Linked DNA regions of Saccharomyces cerevisiae S288C. Changing the gene in region 1 together with any one later gene gives a genetic interaction. Each region holds a gene or a part of one and is shown in the gene's direction. Other genes may lie near its edges.

What was found.
Region 2: of CCH1 (region 1) and YVC1, changing one enhances a phenotype caused by changing the other (phenotypic enhancement), as found in Saccharomyces cerevisiae (one study listed by BioGRID).
Region 3: of CCH1 (region 1) and GRX6, changing one suppresses a phenotype caused by changing the other (phenotypic suppression), as found in Saccharomyces cerevisiae (one study listed by BioGRID).

What each region holds. Positions count from the first base shown.
Region 1 is NC_001139.9:922,847-930,718, forward strand, and holds the start of CCH1 (calcium channel protein CCH1), read left to right. Parts: upstream 1-1,849; coding exon 1,850-7,872. Other genes in the region: GPI1 (phosphatidylinositol N-acetylglucosaminyltransferase), read right to left, coding at 1-1,616. UniProt on the Saccharomyces cerevisiae protein: Voltage-gated, high-affinity calcium channel that functions together with MID1 to mediate calcium entry into cells. Required during conditions of environmental stress.
Region 2 is NC_001147.6:486,022-490,291, forward strand, and holds YVC1 (Yvc1p), read left to right. Parts: upstream 1-1,685; coding exon 1,686-3,713; downstream 3,714-4,270. Other genes in the region: TCB1 (tricalbin), read right to left, coding at 1-758; Rab family GTPase VPS21, read right to left, coding at 4,175-4,270. UniProt on the Saccharomyces cerevisiae protein: Required for release of calcium ions from the vacuole in response to hyperosmotic shock.
Region 3 is NC_001136.10:430,507-433,582, forward strand, and holds GRX6 (glutathione-disulfide reductase GRX6), read left to right. Parts: upstream 1-1,823; coding exon 1,824-2,519; downstream 2,520-3,076. Other genes in the region: SUMO-targeted ubiquitin ligase complex subunit SLX5, read left to right, coding at 1-420; YDL012C (uncharacterized protein), read right to left, coding at 602-880, 967-1,011; YDL009C (uncharacterized protein), read right to left, coding at 2,419-2,742; APC11 (anaphase promoting complex subunit 11), read left to right, coding at 2,991-3,076.

The sequences.
Region 1 (7,872 bases):
TTGTTTTGAAGTTCTAAGGTTGTATGCTTGTTAGAAACCGTGGTTTTGAGCTCAATTGAAATGCCACCGGGTAGACGTTTAGGATCTTTTAACCTAAGTAATAATGCGAACAATGGAAAATGGTTAATGAGTGCAATGACAGCTTCCGAGAATATTTCGATAGTTATTGTTAGCATTCTCAAAACTGTGTATGACATATAGAATGCCATCACTGTGGGAGTCAAGAACACTAGAATAATAAATAATAATGTTCCCAATAGCAATTGATCTAGTTGAAAATAGTTATGGTCAATCCTATTTCGTAAAACGTTCCTCTTTTTACCGCAGAACAGGTTAAAAAGACTAGCCATAATATTCAACTGACAATGGTACAGTTTACTGCTGATACGATAAAAAACATATATTGGAAAACTTAAAATTGCAAAAAAATCAATCGCTAGGGAAACAGCAAAAGAAAAGCCAACGAGAAACATCATATATATCGTTAACGTGAGCAAAGATGATAGGGTTTTCGGATCAATGAGTCTTTTTATGAATGTGGTATAAGAAAATTCTATCACCCAAAGAAATAATTCGCTCAAAAAGTTCGCAAGTTCTGCATTTAATTTGATGCCAAGGGGGTTATTTGCTAACGTTTCAGTTATTGTTTTTAATGAATCATATAAAAAAAACTTCAATACTCTATGGGATGCCGACACCAAGAAATCTCGATTCTCAATAAGTATGGCCCCCAATATTAAACCAAATGAAATGTCATTAATAATAAGCCAAATTGTATTATACAATAAAATATAATCGGGATAGAATTTAGAAGGCATATATGAATGTGAGAATTGACTATTAGAATTATCTTTTTCCACCATAGAGCCAACATTCTGTATGTTATCCTTCTTATTAATACGCTCATACTGTACTGGGAAATAGCAAATTTGTTGACAACGAAGATCGATTTGCTGGACAAATGCCGAGTAATTTACCAACTGAAAGTGCGAATAATTTAATAACGAGGATACGAGACTAGCAATAGAGCAGATCACAAAAGTCAAATAAAAACCAATTTTTGCGACCATTTTATAAATACAAGTAGATGAACACCAAGCTGCGACACTATTAAGCATAGTACCCCTCAAATTTTCCTGTGATGTTTGAATAAACGGGTAAAGCTCATTTAATGCTTTACAATATGCGGGGAATAGATTAATGATGTTCAAAGTTTCACTCAATTTCTTATTATCTCTCTTGTATCTTGGATGTTGCTCTAATTTAGAATAGTTCAGAGTTTCACCCACACTACTATGAAGACCAACTTCTTTTTCTGGTATGATGAGCGAGATGGGATCAGAAGAATAGAATTGCATAAATTTCAGCTTGGGTATTCTAAAATGGACATTACAGGGATCAGCAACTTTGTAGTTCCAACCCTCCGCTCCATTGTTCTTAGTAGCTACCACTGAATAAGGGGGCCGTATGCTTACTTCTTCTAAATACTGAGGTTCGCAAACACCTAAGACAACAAAATGCGTCTTCTCAAATGAAATTGCCAAAGCTACCTGAGGTCCTTGAGCTGCGGAATTCTCGAACAAGGATTCGTATGGCCAGAAAATGTAATTTGGCATGTCATTTAACTGTATAAAACCGCCCCTGAATTCGAAGGTTCCTGTTCACAGAGGAATTTTCATTCTTTTTGGTATTATGTTCTGGTAGGTTTTTTTCATATTCTACATTTCGGCATTCTCACTGAAAATAAATATAGATGAGATAGAAGATCATGAATCAATGGTTGGTGACAAGCTAACATAAGGAAAATCAAAATACACGGCATTACTAAATAGAATATATTGTTAGTACTATGCAGGGGAGAAAAAGGACGCTTACGGAACCATTTGAGCCAAATACCAATCCATTTGGGGACAATGCAGCAGTAATGACGGAAAATGTTGAGGATAACAGCGAAACAGATGGTAACCGTCTAGAATCAAAACCACAAGCTTTGGTCCCACCAGCTTTAAATATCGTGCCACCAGAGAGCAGCATCCACAGTACTGAAGAAAAAAAAGGTGACGAGTACAATGGAAATGATAAAGATAGCTCCTTAATCTCCAACATATTTCGTACTCGTGTCGGAAGGAGTAGTCATGAAAACTTGAGCAGGCCTAAACTCTCACTTAAAACAGCATCATTTGGTGCCGCTGAATCTTCCCGGCGTAATGTTTCACCCTCTACAAAATCTGCCAAGTCTAGTTCGCAGTATATTGATTTAAATGATGAAAGGCTACGCAGGCGTAGCTTCAGTAGTTATAGCCGATCATCTAGTAGGCGTGTTTCTAATTCACCAAGCTCAACGGATAGGCCTCCACGGTCGGCAAAGGTTTTATCGCTAATTGCCGCTGATGATATGGATGATTTTGAAGATTTGCAAAAGGGATTTAAAAGTGCAATAGACGAAGAGGGCCTGACATGGCTACCCCAATTAAAATCAGAAAAAAGCCGTCCTGTATCAGACGTTGGAGAAGATAGAGGAGAAGGAGAACAAGAATCTATACCTGACGTTCATACACCCAATGTAGGAGCAAGCGCTACTCCAGGATCAATTCATCTAACACCCGAACCCGCGCAGAATGGTTCGGTATCTGAGGGTCTAGAAGGCTCTATTAATAATTCAAGAAAGAAACCCAGTCCAAAGTTTTTTCATCATTTATCACCGCAAAAAGAAGATAAAGACCAAACAGAAGTTATTGAGTATGCTGAAGACATTCTAGATTTTGAAACCCTTCAAAGAAAACTGGAATCAAGGCCCTTTGTGCTTTATGGACATTCTCTTGGGGTTTTCTCGCCTACGAATCCGCTAAGAATAAAAATTGCTCGTTTTTTGTTGCATAGGCGGTATTCGTTACTTTACAACACTTTGTTAACATTTTATGCCATTCTCCTGGCGATAAGGACATATAACCCTCACAATGTGGTTTTTTTATACCGTTTCTCTAACTGGACCGACTATTTCATTTTTATTTTATCAGCTTGCTTTACAGGCAATGATATTGCTAAAATAATTGCGTTTGGATTTTGGGACGATTCTGAAATGTTTAAAGCCTATGGACGTGAGTATAAATCAATCTTACAGAGATCTGGAATTATGAAACTATACATATATCTGAGAGAAAAGTATGGTAGAAAGCTAATAGATTTCATTATTCCATTTAGGATCATATCGCCGGGAGAAGAGACAAAATATCAACGAAGTTCGTTGAGTACTTCCCTGACGAAACCTTATGGGGCAAAGGAAAATCAGAGGCCTTTTGGCACCCCAAGAGCCTTTGCGAGATCATCGTGGAATAGAATAGATCTGGTATCTTCTGTCAGTTTTTGGCTAGGTATGTTTTTATCCATAAAAAGTTATGATACAAAAACAGGCATAAGAATATTCAAGCCCCTTGCTATATTAAGGATTCTTCGACTTGTAAACGTGGATACTGGTATGCCCTCAATTCTAAGGGGATTGAAATATGGTATCCCACAGTTGGTAAATGTTAGTTCAATGCTAGTTTACTTTTGGATTTTCTTTGGGATTTTGGGAGTACAGATTTTTCAGGGCTCTTTTCGAAGACAATGTGTATGGTTTAACCCTGAAGATCCTACCGATACTTACCAGTACGATATGCAATTCTGTGGTGGTTACCTAGATCCAGTAACAAAACGAAAACAAAATTATATCTATGAAGACGGATCAGAAGGTTCTGTTTCAAAAGGCTTTCTTTGCCCACAATATTCGAAATGTGTTTCCAATGCCAACCCCTACAACGGCAGAATTAGTTTTGATAATATTGTTAATTCCATGGAGCTCGTTTTTGTCATTATGAGTGCGAATACTTTTACTGACTTAATGTACTATACGATGGATTCGGATGAAATGGCTGCCTGTTTGTTTTTTATTGTTTGCATCTTTGTTTTAACTATCTGGCTGCTAAATCTACTCATTGCAGTGTTGGTATCATCTTTTGAAATAGCCAATGAGGAGTACAAAAAGAAAAAGTTCATATATGGTTCTAGAAAGACAGGTTATGTTGCTCGCATAGTAACAGGCTACTGGAAATATTTTAAGCTTAAGGCGAATCAGACAAAATTCCCAAATTGGTCCCAAAAAGGACTAGCTATTTATTCCCACGTTGAGTTTATCTTTGTCATACTTATTATTTGCGATATAGGTATGCGCGCCTCTGTTAAAGTATCGACTTCGGCAAACTGTAACAATATCCTTCTAAAAACTGACAGGGGAATTTCGATTGTTCTCTTCATCGAATCACTGGCAAGGTTAGTATTATATCTGCCCAATATGTGGAAGTTTTTAACAAAACCTAGTTACGTTTACGATTTTATTATATCAATTATTACTCTGGTTATTAGTTGCCTGGCTGTTGAAGGGGTTCTAGGACATATGTATGCCTGGCTATCCATATTCCACATATCCAGATTTTACAGGGTGATTATTTCTTTCAATTTAACAAAAAAACTATGGAAACAAATATTGAGTAATGGTGTTATGATTTGGAACTTATCGTCTTTTTACTTTTTTTTCACCTTTTTGGTTGCTATAATCATGGCTGTGTATTTCGAAGGCGTGATTCCTCCAGAAGAAATGGCAGACCAGCCATTTGGAATGTATTCACTACCGAATTCATTTCTTTCTTTGTTTATAATAGGTTCAACTGAAAATTGGACGGATATCCTATATGCCCTCCAAAAACACTCACCAAACATCTCCTCAACTTTTTTTTGCTCAGTATTTTTTATTATATGGTTTCTACTATCCAACTCAGTGATCTTGAACATTTTCATTGCCCTAATATCAGAAAGCATGGAAGTGAAAGAAGAAGAAAAACGACCACAGCAAATTAAGCATTATCTTAAGTTCGTCTATCCTCAGAAAATACAAGAATATACACACGCTAGTTTGGTTGCGAGAATTCGTAAAAAATTCTTTGGAGGTCATAGGAACGAAGATACAAGAGATTTTAAGCAATTTCTTATGAGAGGAACCGCGATAATGAACATAGCGCAGAATATGGGGGAGTTGGCCGATGAATTCAAAGAGCCACCTTCAGAAAACCTATTTAAAAAGGGCTTATCAAAGCTCACAATTGGGGTTCCGTCACTAAAAAGGCTGAGAATGTTTGCTAATAATCCATTTTATAAAAATAGTGACGTTGTGTTTACAGAAACGAACGATATAAATGGGAGGACGTATATCTTGGAGTTGAATGAGTACGAGGATGAGAAGCTAGATTATTTAAAAAAGTACCCTTTATTCAATTACTCATATTATTTCTTTTCTCCTCAGCATAGATTTCGAAGGTTCTGTCAACGCTTGGTACCACCAAGCACTGGAAAAAGGACTGATGGATCACGATTTTTCGAGGATAGCACTGATCTATACAATAAAAGGAGCTATTTTCATCATATTGAAAGAGATGTATTTGTATTCATTTTCGCACTTGCCACCATTTTACTAATTGTTTGCTCATGTTATGTTACGCCTCTATATCGTATGCATCACAAGATGGGAACTTGGAATTGGTCCTCGGCGTTAGATTGCGCCTTCATTGGTGCCTTCTCAATTGAATTTATCGTGAAAACAGTAGCTGACGGATTTATATATTCTCCAAATGCTTACCTGAGGAATCCATGGAACTTTATTGATTTTTGTGTCCTAATCTCAATGTGGATTAATTTAATTGCATACCTAAAAAACAATGGAAATTTGTCTAGGATTTTCAAGGGATTGACAGCCCTGAGGGCCCTCAGATGCCTCACGATCAGTAACACAGCTCGTCAAACATTTAACCTAGTTATGTTTGATGGTTTAAATAAAATTTTTGAAGCTGGGTTGATTTCACTCAGTTTGCTATTTCCATTTACAGTTTGGGGCTTAAGCATTTTTAAAGGCCGTTTAGGTACTTGCAATGACGGAAGTTTGGGCCGTGCAGATTGTTACAATGAATATTCAAATTCCGTTTTTCAATGGGATATCATGTCTCCAAGGGTTTACCAGCAACCATATCTTCATTTGGACTCTTTCGCAAGCGCTTTTAGTTCATTATACCAAATCATTTCTTTGGAAGGATGGGTTGATTTGTTGGAAAATATGATGAATAGTTCAGGAATAGGTACACCCGCTACGGTAATGGGTTCAGCAGGGAATGCTTTATTCCTCGTTCTGTTTAATTTTTTAAGTATGGTTTTCATCCTGAACTTGTTTGTTTCATTCATTGTTAACAACCAAGCAAGGACAACAGGAAGCGCTTACTTTACCATTGAGGAAAAGGCGTGGCTGGAATCCCAGAAACTTTTATCTCAGGCCAAGCCAAAAGCTATCCCAAATTTAATTGAGTTATCAAGAGTTAGGCAATTTTTCTATCAACTTGCAGTGGAGAAAAAAAATTTCTACTACGCATCGTTTCTTCAGGTAGTACTTTATTTGCACATAATCATGCTCCTGAGTCGAAGCTACAATCCAGGAAACTTGATAGGTTATCAAGGTGTTTATTTTATGTTTTCCACTAGTGTTTTTTTAATTCAAGAGGCACTTCACATGTGCGGTGAAGGACCAAGATTATATTTTAGGCAAAAATGGAACAGCATACGACTCAGTATCATAATTATAGCCTTTATTATGAACGCTGTAGCATTCCACGTTCCAGCCTCTCACTATTGGTTCCACAATATAAAGGGGTTTTTCCTGTTAGTGATATTTTTGTTTATTATTCCTCAAAATGACACACTAACTGAACTATTAGAAACCGCAATGGCAAGCTTACCGCCTATTCTATCATTGACCTACACTTGGGGGGTTTTATTTTTAGTATATGCTATTGCTTTGAATCAAATCTTCGGCCTAACAAGGTTAGGGAGTAATACGACCGATAACATAAATTTTAGAACTGTAATCAAATCCATGATTGTTCTGTTTAGATGTAGTTTTGGTGAGGGCTGGAATTATATCATGGCCGACCTAACTGTGTCAGAACCTTATTGCTCCTCTGATGATAATTCAACCTATACGGACTGTGGATCAGAGACATATGCCTATTTGTTATTAATGTCGTGGAATATTATTTCCATGTATATTTTTGTGAATATGTTTGTTTCGTTGATTATTGGTAATTTCAGTTATGTTTACCGTAGCGGTGGATCTCGCTCTGGCATCAACAGATCGGAGATAAAAAAATACATTGAAGCTTGGTCCAAATTTGATACTGATGGAACTGGCGAGCTTGAGCTGTCCTACCTCCCAAGAATAATGCATTCATTTGACGGTCCTCTTTCATTTAAAATTTGGGAAGGTAGATTGACAATAAAAAGTCTAGTCGAGAACTACATGGAGGTTAACCCAGATGATCCATATGACGTCAAAATAGACCTGATCGGACTGAACAAAGAGCTGAATACGATTGATAAAGCAAAGATCATACAGAGGAAGTTACAGTACAGAAGATTTGTACAAAGCATTCACTATACGAATGCTTATAATGGATGTATCAGATTCTCGGATTTGTTATTACAAATACCTCTCTATACAGCTTATTCTGCAAGGGAATGTCTAGGTATTGATCAATATGTCCATCATCTATATATCCTGGGTAAAGTGGACAAGTACTTAGAAAATCAAAGAAACTTCGATGTATTGGAGATGGTGGTAACAAGATGGAAATTTCATTGCAGGATGAAACGTACCATTGAACCCGAATGGGATGTTAAAGATCCCACAGTATCGTCTCACATTTCGAATATAAACGTAAATCTGGAACCTGCTCCAGGAATTTTAGAAAGAGAACCTATTGCGACACCTAGAATGGACTACGGTGTTAACAATTTTAT
Region 2 (4,270 bases), on another chromosome or scaffold:
ATACCCCAGTCCATCACAACAACATCGGATGCAGTGTTTTGGAAAGTCTTCACCAAATCAACTCTGGGGGGTTTAACACCAAGTGTCAACTCATCGATCCATAGTTGAGTAATAAATTTGGGAATCGCCTCATTAGTAGCCATTTGTTCATTAGCTTGCTGAACGATTAATTGACTAACGGAAGGTTCTAAAATGGGCCAGTACTTATCCAAAAAGGCATTCAACCATTCTAGGGATTCATAGTCGTTTTCCACTTTCTGCACCGTGAACTCTTTCTGGACTAACTCTCTTATGGAACCTCTGTATTTTTTAGCAGAGGTTCTATACAACAATGAAGTGATAACGATGACAAAAAAGGCCGACCCCATTGAAAACTTATAATGACCAAGTGCAAATGATGCCACGCCTCCGATAAAGAAAATGGCTACCGAATGATACCAGTCACCGTAAAGGCTGTCCGGTATGATGTTATCTAAGAAGGTTTCTCTAGTCATATCCATCAATTCATCATCTAAAGTTAATTCGTCTTTGTCTTCCCAGCCACCAATCTGTTTCCAGCCGACATAAGAAGCTTCATGGATACTTCTCTTGAAGCTTTCATCACTAGCATGTGCCGCCTTCTCAGATGACACGCTTTTACTGGATTCGGTTTCCTCTTTCGTCTTTGGAGGTTCTAACTTATCTATCCCATTTATGTTAGCTACTTGGGCTGTTTCGGGCTTCTTTGGTGCTGTTACCCCAGTATCTTCTTTGGCCATATTGTATGTACCACGCAATTGAAGTTTTCAGAATGCACTAGCTATCTTTTTTTATCTTAGCTATTCTTCTTCAATTATCCTACTTATTCTTCAGCAAAAAAAAAATAATAAGCTAAGACAATGCTATACAAGTCAATTACCAGCCAGTAAGTCCAAATTGGAGTAGCCAATGCTATTAGTTGATAATTTTGACGGCCGATTATACTATTCCAATTGCAGCAACATCCCTGTCCCTTAGCTTTTTGAGGGGCCTTTTGTTATAATTTTTCATGCAGCATTCCGGTCGCCAAAGTTGTTATCACTTCTAACGTAAATCGTTTTCTCGTTATGTCCGCTATTTTAGAATGAGAATAATGGATAAAATTGGCCTAAAAAGGGAGCGAGTATAACGTTACTGAGATACAATTGTACATTTTGCCATGGAAATGAGCCAACTAGTCTAATGAGATTTTCAATGCTTTATTTCTTTTTTTAGTTTCTCATTTTATTGTTTCTCTAGTTATTAGTCCTTTGGTTATTTTTATGTCACCACCTCTTGTCACATGACCATTTTTGTTACTTGCTTGGTTTTACAATGATTTATACATTCTTGGGCCTCTCTTGACATATTTTTATCGTCATAATAAGTTCTTCATTCGTTCTCTAAAACAACAAAGTTAGACTCCATGGCCAAGTTGGTTAAGGCGTGCGACTGTTAATCGCAAGATCGTGAGTTCAACCCTCACTGGGGTCGTTAATTTTTTAATTTTTCTCCTACACTGTTGCTATGTCGGAGTTATCTCATAAGAGCTGAAAATATGTGGTAAATTTAGTCAGTATCCTTCGAGGATCAGCTAGAGCCTATTCAATGCAATTGTCATTAATCAGTGGCTTGGTAAGGCAATAGAATTCAGTTATAAAATATAATATTACTAGAACAGGAGCATTATGGTATCAGCCAACGGCGACTTGCACTTGCCAATTTCTAACGAACAGTGCATGCCGGAAAACAATGGATCTCTTGGATTTGAGGCCCCCACTCCGAGACAGATTCTCAGGGTTACGTTAAATTTGAAATACTTAATTGATAAGGTCGTACCTATTGTTTACGATCCCAATGATATTGTTTGTGACCATTCTGAGATTTTATCTCCAAAAGTTGTGAAGCTGGCTTATGAAGCATGTGGCGGGAACCCTAAAGACAAGGCCAACAAAAGAAAATATCAATCTGTCATTATTTTTTCACTTCTTAAAGTTTGTGAGTGGTATTCCATATTGGCCACTATGGAAGTGCACAATGCCAAACTTTACGAAACCAGAAATTTAGCCTCACAACAGTTATGTAAATTGTTAATTGAAAGGGAGGAGACAAGAGACCTGCAGTTTCTTTTCATGCAGTTACTGCTGCGTCGGTACGTAATCAACGAGAACGATGAAGATCAAGAACCGTTGAATGCCTTGGAACTTGCCACAGATATGCACTGTACTACAGTGATAGGATCGAGTGGATTTCAGCGTTGTTTAAAATGGATATGGAGAGGATGGATAGTCCAAAATGGCTTGGATCCCACAACTTTTATCAAGGACGATTCACTGGCGGAAGTGTCATTGATCTCTCATTTCAACCCCGTAAGATTAAAGGCGCCTGTATACCAAAATTATTTGCAGATGATCTTCTCATTTTTGTTTCTAGGGCTTTATACCTTGGTGGTTAATGGTAAGGACTCTGAGAGAGTCCAATCTTTCGATTTGTTAGAAAGCATATTTTATGTTTTCAATACTGGTTTCATCTTGGATGAGCTCACTAAGCTTTATTATATTGGTTATGCGCACCTATCGTTTTGGAATTTATTTAATGATACCACATATTTGATAATCACGTTTGCTATGGGGTTCCGTGCAATGAGCGTAACGCCCCTTAATGCAAAATACTCTTCAGAAGATTGGGATAAAATATCATATAGAGTCTTATCCTGTGCAGCACCATTTGTGTGGTCGAGACTCCTACTATACCTTGAATCACAAAGGTTTATTGGGATTATGTTGGTTATCCTAAAACATATGATGAAAGAATCCATTGTATTTTTCTTCCTTCTATTCTTAATAATGATAGGATTCACTCAAGGTTTCTTAGGTTTGGATTCCGCAGATGGTAAGAGAGATATCACCGGACCCATCCTGGGTAATTTAACAATCACCGTTTTGGGTCTTGGTAGTTTTGATGTTTTCGAAGAATTCGCTCCCCCATATGCGGCAATACTGTATTATGGTTACTATTTTATTGTTTCGGTTATCCTTTTGAATATATTAATTGCTTTGTATTCGACTGCGTACCAAAAAGTTATTGACAATGCAGATGACGAGTACATGGCTTTGATGTCACAAAAGACGTTGAGATACATTAGAGCACCTGATGAAGATGTCTATGTTTCTCCATTGAACTTAATTGAAGTGTTCATGACACCTATCTTTCGTATTCTTCCACCGAAGCGTGCTAAAGATTTGAGCTATACTGTAATGACAATAGTGTACAGCCCATTTTTGTTGCTTATTTCTGTTAAAGAAACTCGGGAGGCTAGAAGGATAAAATATAACAGGATGAAAAGGTTAAACGATGATGCCAATGAATATGATACTCCATGGGATTTGACAGATGGCTACTTGGATGATGATGACGGTTTGTTTTCTGATAACCGAAATTCTGGCATGAGAGCCACCCAGTTAAAGAATTCCCGTTCGCTAAAACTGCAAAGAACAGCAGAGCAGGAAGATGTCCATTTTAAAGTCCCTAAGAAGTGGTATAAAAACGTTAAAAAATGCAGTCCCTCCTTCGAACAGTATGATAACGATGACACTGAAGATGATGCTGGTGAAGATAAAGATGAAGTCAAAGAGCTCACTAAGAAAGTGGAAAACTTGACAGCTGTAATTACCGATCTACTCGAAAAATTAGACATAAAGGATAAGAAAGAGTAAACGACATGTGTTCAAATACTGCTTAATTAATTTCTCAGAAATCCATATATATATATATATATTGCTCCTCATTGCAACTTTGTAAATTTAATGTTCCTTTAATTTATCATTATTTACAATATTAACTAATCCATCTCCCGATTTTCGGCATAAAATAAGTTTATATTTTGGTCTACATGAAAACAAAAGTTTAACTAAACTAACGTGTACAAACCACTTTGAAACGTATATAAAGGTCTAATAAAAACGACTGGCGTTTTGAAAGATAATATAATGATCTAATGCAGTTAAAAAATTTACAAATTATAAGAAGAAAAGAAAAACAACGATTACGGTAAAAAATGAAAACTCCCTCTCCTTTCTAGGTACGATAAATTATGACTTTCATCTTTCCCGTTTTGAAGATCTATTTATCTCAATTTGCCCAGACTTTTTTTTTATATATATTTATTTTCCCCTCTCTAACAACTGCAAGCACTGTTTGCGCTGGTCCCATCATTAGCAGCGTTCAAATCCACTCTTTGATTGTTCGACTCACGTTCGTTACTTGCACTATT
Region 3 (3,076 bases), on another chromosome or scaffold:
GATGACGATTTAGCAAAAACACTCGAGGATATTCCTGTTTGTTGCTTGTGTGGCGCAGAATTGGGGGTCGGAATACCGGATGATTTTACTGGAATCAGTCAAAAGGATCGTGGTGTTTCATTTGAAGGGTTAGTGTCAAAATACAAATTCCACTGCCCCTACCAAACCCTAGCCAGACCATCAATGCTTGATAGAGATTTATCAAAACGAACGTTTATTGCATCGTGTGGTCATGCATTTTGTGGTAGGTGTTTCGCCAGGATTGACAATGCAAAAAAAAAATCTAAGATGCCCAAAAAGAAACTAGCTCAACTAAAGGGTTCGGCTCATCCGGATAATTATGGCCCCAAATTATGTCCCGCAGATTCTTGTAAGAAGCTTATTCGTTCAAGAGGCAGGTTGAAGGAGGTTTACTTCTAGCACGCGGTTTAATTTTTATAAGGGCATTTTCGAACTTATCATCATTATATATTATCTACTTGCATGAACACTTTAATCACGCTTATTTAATTAAGATTAAAAGATCAGAGGTGCAATTGTGCTTTGTTTTATATAGTGGATTTGTGTGAAAGGGTTTGCTCCCACAAGATATGGAGATACTCTAAAACAGCATATCCAAAGTACAGCATAAACATAAACCCGCTAGACAGCCCGCTAGACAGTCTTCATTTCCAGAACTGGCCGGTTGTTGTTGGACATAAATGGGCTGCTGTGGGTGTTGTTGGTAATATTGGGGCTGCTGTTGCTGATAGTATTGAGGTTGTTGCTGATACTGCTGCTGCTGCTGTTGAGGTGGATAATAGTTCTGTTGGCTTTGCGATGGAGCGTAACCTCTAGACGCCGTTTCATATCCTGGTGGTGGAGCGCTAGGACGAGAATACTGAATCGAAAGTGATGTAATGAAAATACAAGGGCTCGTTAGTACGATGTGATCTTCTAAAGGCAAAACTTGTAAAATTAACGTACGCTTTGTTTGGAGGCAGAGTTTCCGTAATAATCTTGAGCTGACATGAGATGTGTATTTGCTTGGTTTATGGGCTATTGTATGGGTTTGTCTTAATATCCTTTTCGGTTGCGTAAATACTTTTTATATTTCAATATTTCACGATGCCGCTGATAGCATCGTTTAATACGAAAACTTCGAGCCATTTACCAAGAAATATTCTGGACTAGGTGGAAGGAAGCTTCGAGAACTCACCGTGGCTATTCAAGGCTGATGGACATATGTACTGGGCTGAGCTTAAGATCTCCCATTACTGCTCCGTGGGGTTTTATGTGAAATGTGGCGTTTCAGCAGTTTTTAGTTGGCTAATTTCCTAAAAGTAGTAATTAGTTTCTTATGATGGATTTAATGGCGTAGTTCATCCGCGTTTAATTTAACTAGAGGATAATCTACTTGCAGCATGAATGAAAATAGTAAGCCAGTAAGGATGCACTGACAGACTCAGCTACCGATTAGTGTTGTTGACTTTTCCGCAAGATCCTTTTCTCCCTCTTTGGACCTAGTCATCCCTCCACACAAGATTCGCTCTTAAGTAGTGGCGCAGGCTGTTCGCTTTTAAGCATAGTGCTTAATGTCGAAGGCTTTATAGATCCCAAATACTACGCCTTGAGAAATTGAATGCACTAGCAGTTAGTTAACTTTCTGGAACGCGCATGACGCGTCCCGGGGCGCCTGAGGCGGAGCGTTCGCGAAATCGGGAAAACATTATACTGGGAAAGATCACTATCTATTCTCTAAATGAACTTTTAAGCAAATTATCGTAAGATAGAAAAGACGAAACCTTAGCAACCTAGCGGTTTAATATAGAAACAATTTTATTATGATACCTTCCAATAAGAGAAATGCTAGAATTTTAAGCATTACAACGCTATTATTGTTGTTAGTGTTTTTCGTAGCGCAAAATGCGAACTTCTTGACGGTAGAGATAAAAGAGGAAACTTCTAAAGCATTTAGTACTAATATGGACAATATGGCTGGAGGATCTTCCAGGGAATATGCTGCTATGCCGACTTCTACCACGAATAAGGGGAGCTCTGAAGTAGACGAAGAAATTAATGAAATAAAACAGAAGGTGGGACTCCAACAGCCCATAGCATCGGTTGATGATAGTTTGTCGGCCATTAAAAACGATAAAGGGTCGCGAATAACCAAAGCTTTTAATGTTCAAAAAGAATACTCCCTCATACTAGACTTGTCTCCGATTATAATATTTAGTAAAAGCACCTGTTCATATAGCAAGGGCATGAAGGAACTGCTTGAAAATGAGTATCAGTTTATCCCAAACTACTATATTATAGAACTTGACAAACATGGACATGGGGAAGAGCTGCAAGAATATATCAAGTTGGTGACCGGTAGAGGAACTGTTCCAAACCTTTTGGTTAATGGAGTATCAAGAGGAGGTAATGAAGAAATCAAGAAACTGCACACTCAAGGGAAACTTTTAGAATCATTACAAGTCTGGAGTGATGGTAAATTCTCGGTTGAGCAACGTGAAAAACCTTCCAATAATTGAAATTGTTACAAAAAGGAAAGAAGAAAAAATTAAGAATAAATATATAAATAAAGAGGTCGTGAATGATTAGGTCGTGAAATGCAGTGTAGTTGGAAAGGCGTAGTTTTCCTAGCACAAGGCGTTTCGGAGTTGGAATAAAGAAGCTATCACCAACGAAGAAGCTTTTTTGTCCAAGACATCTCTTAAAAGGGTTGTGAAAACATAAAACGCTTAATGCCTTCATATATACATATATAAGTTTATGGTTTCGATGTTTACAATAACTTCTATCCTTTGCTGGTCCATGCACTTCACCTTGGTAAGTTATGCAACGCACTTTTGTCTACGCCTGCATTCGATATAAAGGGTAAGCTGCCGAGATAACTTTTGTATCTTCCGTGTCTGCAGATAAAAAAATAATGCATTCTTCAAAAACTTTGTACAATATCGGGAGAGTTTAACAAGCAAAGTGGCAATACAGATTATAAAAATATGAAAGTTAAAATAAACGAAGTGCACAGTGTGTTTGCTTGGTCATGGCACATCCCTAGCACATCTGATGAGGACGCAGCCAATAA